Linked DNA regions of Macaca mulatta. The protein of the gene in region 2 purifies or fractionates together with the protein of the main gene of each other region. This does not show direct contact. Links are inferred from orthologs where the notes say so. Each region holds a gene or a part of one and is shown on either strand. Other genes may lie near its edges. The genes, in order: CBX1 and AHDC1.

Region 1 (3,808 bases), on a different chromosome or scaffold from region 2:
GACTGTAAAAACAAGATTGGTAGAACAATTTTATCTATATGGGACTATTATCTAGACTTGGAACTATTCCTGTGTCTCTGATTAATGTAATCATAAACTCTTCTCTTTTTTTTTTTGAGACGGAATCTCTGTTGCCCAGGATGGAGTGCAGTGGTGCGATCTCAGCTCACTGCAGCCTCTGCCTCCTGGGTTCAAGTAATTCTCCTGCCTCAGCCTCCTGAGGAGCTGGGACCACAGGCGCATGCCACCACACCTGGCTAATTTTTTGTATTTTTAGTAGAGACGGGGATTCACCATTTAGTCAGGATGGTCTTAATCTCCTGACCTTGTGATTCGCCCGCCTCAGCCTCCCAAGGGGCTGGGATTATAGGTGTGAGCCACTGTGCCCGGCCCAAACACAAACTTTTTTGCCAATATTTCACCAATACCTTGGCTCAAAGTAAGAGAGCTGTTAGAATTCTTTGGAGTGATTATTCATCAATGTCTGAAGCGCATGAGATTTTCCCATATGTGAAAAGGGACATACAGCCCAAGCAAAATCAATGTTTACACCTATCTCTTCACTCTCAAAAAACAACTTACTTTAAGGTACGTACTGATTAAGTCAAAATAGCTACCTCACACCTTTAATGATTAAACATTGAAAACCGTTTTTTACAAGAATGAATTCACTTGCCCTTTTATCTGTCCCCAGCAAGTATCCCATTTACTGCTCCTGTACCATGGATAAAAAGTAAGAGACTGGCTGGGCGCAGTGGCTCAAGCCTGTAATCCCAGCACTTTGGGAGGCCGAGACGGGCGGATCATGAGGTCAGGAGATCGAGACCATCCTGGCGAACACGGTGAAACCCCGTCTCTACTAAAAAGTACAAAAAAACTAGCTGGGCGAGGTGGCGGGCGCCTGTAGTCCCAGCTACTCGGGAGGCTGAGGCAGGAGAATGGCGTAAACCCAGGAGGTGGAGCTTGCAGTGAGCTGAGATCCGGCCACTGCACTCCAGCCTGGGCGACAGAGCGAGACTCCGTCTCAAACAAACAAACAAACAAAAAAGTAAGAGATCATGTGGCTTCATGAGAGTACACTCTCACTTTGTAGGCATTAGCCTACCTAAGATGTCAGAACTAAGAAGAGATGGCTGCTAATATCTGGGAAGAAGCAAAACAAAACTACTTTGACAGTGGTTTGAATTGTGGGCCAGTAAAAATTCTTACTTCTATCCTTACCTCTTCTTTCTTCTTCTTTGGTTTGCTCTCCTCTCCCTTATCTTCAGAATCAGAATCAGCTTTGCGCTTGCCTCCCTCTGATTTATCTGTCTCATGTGCTGTTTTCTGTGACTGCAGAAACTCAGCAATGAGGTCGGGGCAATCCAGGTTTTCTTCTGGCTCCCATGTGTTGTCCTCACTGAAACCAGAGGGCACAGCAAGTCACACTTTCACTCAAAATAAGTATAATCATACTAAGGATAATCGTAAGAGGACAAGAGCTCAGACGTCCATGGAAAAGCTGAAATTTCTTGGGGAATGGGGAGGCTTTCTAGTATAAATAGAAAGCTAAGAAACTGGCTTCCTTCAAAGGCAAATGACTTTTATTTGTCAATTTAAATCGGTCTATAGCCACACACAATATTTCTCAGAAATCACTATGGGCTGGGTACAGTGGCTCACGCCTGTAGTCCCAACACTTTGGGAGGCCCAGGTGGGAGGACTGCTTGAGGCCAGGAGTTAGACAAACCTGGGCAACTAAGTGAGACATGGTGGTGCATGCCTGTGGTACTAGCTACTTAGAAGGCTGAGGTGGGAGGATACCTTGAGCCTGGGAGGTTGAGGCTGCAGCGAGCTATGACTGCACCACTGTACTCCAGCCTGGGTGACAGAGCGAGACCTTGTCTCAAAAGAAAGAACTTTAAAAAAGAAGTCATTCTGCTCTGTATAACAAGCAGTAGGCCATGTTCCTAATTAAACAATAAGCCATGAAGGTGGGGACTGAGTCACACAGTTTCCATCACAGCACTGGAGGTCTCATACATCTCTAGACTCCTGATAAACACCTGGTGGCTACATTTACTTGTGTCAGTGAAACTTACTCTGAGAACCCCTTCCATTTTAGGAGGTACTCCACTTTGCCCTTTACCACTCGACGGTCGAGAACTTTTTCCACCACATATTCCTCTTCCTCCTCTTCTAGCACCTCCTCCACTTTCTTCTTGTTTTGTTTTTTCCCCATAGTGCCCGCCAGCTTTCTGGTGTAAAGGGTGACGCTGCTAAAATGATAAATGAAATAAAAAGGGAATTAGGGAGCACTCTTATTGGTTAGATAATATCTGGATGGTAAGAAAACCAGAGACATGACAGGTGATAATATTATATGCTGCTTACAATAAGTGTGAGGCCTATTCTCACATTCGATACACAATAGTTTTCTGATATGTGCAGTCAGAAAGCTCATAAAACAGCCCCAATTAATCTTACAGCGAAACTTCTTTTTGAGAGACGGAGTCTTGCTTTGTTGCACAGGCTGGAGTGCAGTGGCACAATCTCGGCTCACCGCAACCTCTGCCTTCTGGGTTCAAGTGATTCTCCTGCCTCAGCTTCCCAAGCAGCTGGAACTGCAGGCATGTGCCACCAAGCCCAGCTAATTTTTGTATTTGTTTTTTTTTAGTAGAGACGGGACTTCACTACATGTTGGCCAGGCTGGTCTCGAACTCCTGACCTCAGGTGATCCGCCTGCTTCGGCCTCCCAAAGTGTTGGAATTACAGGTGTGAGCCACTGCGCCTGGCCTTCACAGCAAACTTCTTTATTCTTGTGTATCCATTTACAACTTTTATACCCATTCTTTGTCATTTAAAAAGGCTCCCAATACTCCTTTTACCATAAAGCATGGTAGCTAGGGCCACGCATGCAGGCTCACATCTGCAATCCCAGCATTTTGGAAGGCCGAAGTGGGAGAATTCCTGGAGCCCAGGAGTGTGTGACCAGCCTAGGCAACATAGCAAGACCCCATCTCCACACACACAAAAAATCTGTAAAAGAGCATGGTAGCTAAAATATTGCATTAAACTCAAAGAAGGCCGGGCGCAGCGGCTCACACCTGTAATTCTAGCACTTTGGGAGGCGGAGGCGGGCAGATGGCCTGAGGTCAGGGGTTCAAGACCAGCCTGGCCAACATGGCAAGACCCTGTCCCTACTAAAAATACAAAAATTAGCCAGTCATGAGCCAGGATCGCATGACTGTACTCCAGCCTGGGCAACAGAGTGAGACTCCTGACCTCGTGATTCGCCTGCCCTGGCCTTCCAAAGTGCTGGGATTAGAGGCGTGAATGACCCTGCCCGGCCCTTTTTTTTTTTTTTTTTTCTTTTAAGACGGAGTCTCACGCCAGCCCAGGCTGGAGTGCAATGGCACAATCTCGGCTCACTGCAACCTCCGCCTCCTGGGTTCAAGTGATTCTCCTGCCTCAGCCTCATGAGTAGCTGGGACTACAGGTGTGAGCCACCATGCCCAGCTAATTTTTGTATTTTTAGTAAAGACAGGGTTTCACCACGTTGGTCAGGCTGCCAGGCTGGTCTTGAACTCCTGACTTCGTGATTCGCCCATGGTGGCCTTCCAAAGTGCTGGGATTACAGGCATGAGCCACCAAGCCCCGCCCCACCCCACCCCCCTTTTTTTGAGACGGAGTCTCACTCCAGCCAGGCTGGAGTGCAGTGGCACAGTCTTGGCTCACTGCAACCTCCGCCACCCGGGTTCAAGTGATTCTTCTGCCTCAGCCTTCTGAGTAGCTGGGACTACAGGTGTGTGCCACCATGCCCAGCTAG
Region 2 (3,808 bases):
TCCTGGCCTTCTCCTTAAGTTTGATCACCCTGCTGATGTGCTTCCCTCTCAGAGGCAGGGGTCCTGTTCTTCCTGAGCACATAGCCAGATTTCCAAAGGGGATGAGCTGTCAATAAGTGAAGCTGGGCCAGGCATGGTGGCTCACGCCTGTAATCCCAGTACTTTGGGAGGCCAAGGCGAGTGGATCATCTGTGGTCAGGAGCTCAAGACCAGCCTGGCCAACATGGTGAAACCCCGACTCTACTAAAATACAAAAATTAGCCAGGCGTGGTGGCGCGTGCCTGTAATCCCAGGTACTAGGGAGGCTGACACCTAAGAATCGCTTGCACTAGGAGGCAGAGGTTGCAGTGAGCTGAGATCACACTACTTCACTCTAGCCTGGGTGACAGAGTGAGACTCTCTTTCAAAAAAAAAAAAAAGTGAAACTGGGGCCCATGAGGGGCTTGCTGTACATATGGTGGTTTGAGAAAGGCTGGGAGTCAGCAAGGGGATTGGGCTTGGGGTGGGGATGGGAGCTTGGTAAGGAGATGAGACCTCAGGAGGGAGGGGTCCAGGAGCTCATCGAGGATATGGGAAGCTGATGAGGATGTAGGTGTTCAGTAAGGGACCTCCTGCTCTTCCTGCCTGGCAGGTCCTGGTCCCGGCTTCTCGCACCCTCATGTCAGCCCCGGCCCCGCCCGGCGGCCTGCGGAGGACAAGGTCAGGATGCGTGTGAAGCCCCAGGGCCTGGTGGTGACTTCCAGTGCCGTGTGCAGCTCTCCTGACTACCTCCGGGAGCCCAAGTACTACCCCGGCGGCCCCCCCACCCCCCGGCCCCTGCTTCCCACCCGGCCCCCTGCCAGCCCACCCGACAAGGCCTTCTCCACCCACGCCTTCTCCGAGAACCCACGCCCACCCCCACGCCGGGACCCCAGCACCCGGCGCCCACCAGTCCTTGCCAAGGGGGACGACCCGCTGCCCCCACGGGCAGCCCGTCCTGTCTCACAGGCCCGCTGCCCCACACCGGCCGGAGACGGCAGCAGCTCCCGACGCTGCTGGGACAACGGGCGGGTGAACCTGCGACCAGTGGTGCAGCTGATTGACATCATGAAGGACCTGACACGCCTCTCCCAGGACCTGCAGCACAGTGGTGTACACCTGGACTGTGGTGGGCTCCGACTGAGCCGCCCGCCTGCACCGCCACCCGGCGACCTACAGTACAGCTTCTTCTCCTCACCCAGTTTGGCCAACAGCATCCGTAGCCCTGAGGAGCGAGCCACCCCACACGCCAAGTCAGAGCGGCCCAGCCACCCCCTCTACGAGCCTGAGCCTGAGCCTAGGGATAGTCCCCAGCCTGGCCAAGGCCATAGTCCTGGAGCCACGGCTGTGGCCACGGGTCTGCCCCCAGAGCCTGAGCCAGACAGCACTGATTACTCAGAACTTGCTGACGCTGACATCCTTAGTGAGCTGGCCTCCCTCACTTGCCCAGAGGCCCAGCTGCTAGAGGCCCAGGCCCTCGAGCCACCATCTCCTGAGCCAGAGCCTCAGCTCCTGGACCCCCAGCCCCGCTTCCTGGACCCGCAGGCACTAGAGCCGCTCGGGGAAGCTCTGGAGCTGCCACCCCTGCAACCTCTTGCTGATCCTCTGGGGCTGCCGGGCCTGGCTCTCCAGGCCCTGGACACCCTGCCTGACTCCTTGGAGTCGCAGCTGCTTGACCCCCAGGCACTCGACCCCCTGCCCAAGCTGCTTGACGTCCCAGGTCGCCGTCTGGAGCCCCAGCAGCCCCTGGGGCACTGCCCACTGGCCGAGCCCTTGCGCCTGGACTTGTGCTCACCGCACGGCCCCCCCGGGCCTGAGGGTCACCCCAAGTACGCCTTGCGGCGTACTGATAGGCCAAAGATCCTGTGTCGCCGGCGGAAAGCCGGACGGGGGCGCAAGGCGGACGCCGGACCTGAGGGCCGCCTACTGCCCCTGCCTATGCCCACGGGGCTGGCAGCCGCCCTGGCCGAACCCCCACCGCCACCGCCGCCTCCACCCCCTGCCCTGCCAGGCCCAGGCCTGGTCTCAGTCCCAGAATTGAAGCCAGAATCTTCCCAGACCCCAGTGGTCTCTACCCGCAAAGGCAAGTGCCGAGGCGTGCGGCGCATGGTGGTGAAGATGGCCAAGATCCCCGTATCGCTCGGGCGACGGAACAAGACCACATACAAAGTGTCTTCCTTGAGCAGCAGCCTGAGTGTGGAGGGCAAGGAGCTAGGCCTGCGTGTGTCAGCTGAGCCCACCCCGCTGCTGAAGATGAAGAACAACGGGCGGAACGTGGTAGTGGTCTTCCCACCCGGTGAGATGCCCATTATTCTTAAGCGTAAGCGCGGCCGCCCTCCTAAGAACCTGCTGCTGGGTCCTGGCAAGCCCAAGGAGCCAGCTGTGGTGGCGGCCGAGGCAGCCACTGTGGCAGCAGCCACCATGGCCATGCCAGAGGTGAAGAAACGACGGCGGCGGAAGCAGAAGCTGGCGTCTCCCCAACCGTCCTATGCGGCAGATGCCAACGACAGCAAGGCTGAGTACTCAGACGTCCTGGCCAAGCTGGCCTTTCTGAACCGCCAGAGCCAGTGCGCTGGACGGTGCTCGCCACCCCGCTGCTGGACACCCAGTGAGCCGGAGTCAGTGCACCAGGCCCCTGACACCCAGAGCATCTCCCACTTCCTGCATCGTGTGCAGGGCTTCCGGCGGCGTGGGGGCAAAGCAGGTGGTTTTGGTGGCCGGGGTGGGGGCCATGCGGCCAAGTCAGCCCGATGCTCCTTCAGTGACTTCTTTGAGGGCATTGGCAAGAAAAAGAAGGTGGTGGCCGTGGCAGCCGCTGGGGTGGGGGGCCCTGGCCTTACCGAGTTGGGGCACCCACGCAAACGGGGCCGGGGGGAGGTAGACGCTGTGACTGGGAAGCCAAAGCGCAAGAGACGGTCCCGGAAGAATGGGACTCTGTTCCCAGAGCAGGTGCCCAGTGGCCCAGGCTTTGGGGAGGCGGGTGCCGAGTGGGCCGGAGATAAGGGTGGTGGCTGGGCCCCTCACCATGGGCACCCAGGCGGGCAAGCTGGCCGAAACTGTGGGTTTCAGGGGACCGAGGCCCGGGCCTTTGCCTCCACTGGGCTGGAGAGCGGAGCCTCAGGCCGTGGCAGCTACTACAGCACGGGCGCACCCTCAGGCCAGACCGAGCTCAGCCAGGAGCGCCAAAACCTCTTCACCGGCTACTTTCGCTCGCTGCTCGATTCGGATGACTCCTCCGATCTCTTGGACTTTGCCCTCTCAGCCTCTCGCCCAGAGTCCCGGAAGGCATCAGGCACCTATGCAGGGCCACCCACCAGCGCCCTACCTGCCCAGCGGGGCCTTGCCACCTTCCCTAGCCGGGGAGCCAAGGCCAGCCCAGTGGCAGTGGGTAGTGGTGGGGCTGGGGCGGACACCTCCTTCCAGCCTGTCCTGCCCACGCGCCAGACCTTCCCACCAGGACGGGCAGCGAGCTATGGGCTAACTCCGGCCACTTCAGACTGCCGGGCAGCGGAGACCTTCCCCAAGCTGGCTCCCCCGCCCTCAGCCGTGGCCCGCTCACCTACCACCCACCCGCCTGCCAACACCTACCTGTCCCAGTATGGCGGCTACGGGGCTGGACAAAGCGTATTTGCCCCGGCTAAACCCTTTACAGGCCAGGACTGCGCTAACAGCAAGGACTGCAGCTTTGCCTATGGCAGTGGCAACAGCCTCCCTGCCTCACCCAGCAGCGCCCACAGCGCCGGCTATGCCCCACCGCCTACCGGGGGCCCCTGCCTGCCACCAAGCAAGG

What was found.
Region 1: the proteins of AHDC1 (region 2) and CBX1 purify together in Homo sapiens (affinity purification with mass spectrometry; 4 studies listed by BioGRID and IntAct, with this or other methods). This does not show direct contact. The link is inferred for Macaca mulatta from reciprocal best matches to the Homo sapiens genes AHDC1 and CBX1.

The regions. Positions count from the first base shown.
Region 1 is NC_133421.1:61,945,333-61,949,140, reverse strand, and holds part of CBX1 (chromobox protein homolog 1), read right to left. Parts: intron 2,259-3,808; coding exon 2,082-2,258; intron 1,400-2,081; coding exon 1,222-1,399; intron 3-1,221; coding exon 1-2. UniProt on the Homo sapiens protein: Component of heterochromatin. Recognizes and binds histone H3 tails methylated at 'Lys-9', leading to epigenetic repression. Interaction with lamin B receptor (LBR) can contribute to the association of the heterochromatin with the inner nuclear membrane.
Region 2 is NC_133406.1:213,394,733-213,398,540, forward strand, and holds part of AHDC1 (transcription factor Gibbin), read left to right. Parts: intron 1-631; 5' UTR 632-705; coding exon 706-3,808. UniProt on the Homo sapiens protein: Transcription factor required for the proper patterning of the epidermis, which plays a key role in early epithelial morphogenesis. Directly binds promoter and enhancer regions and acts by maintaining local enhancer-promoter chromatin architecture.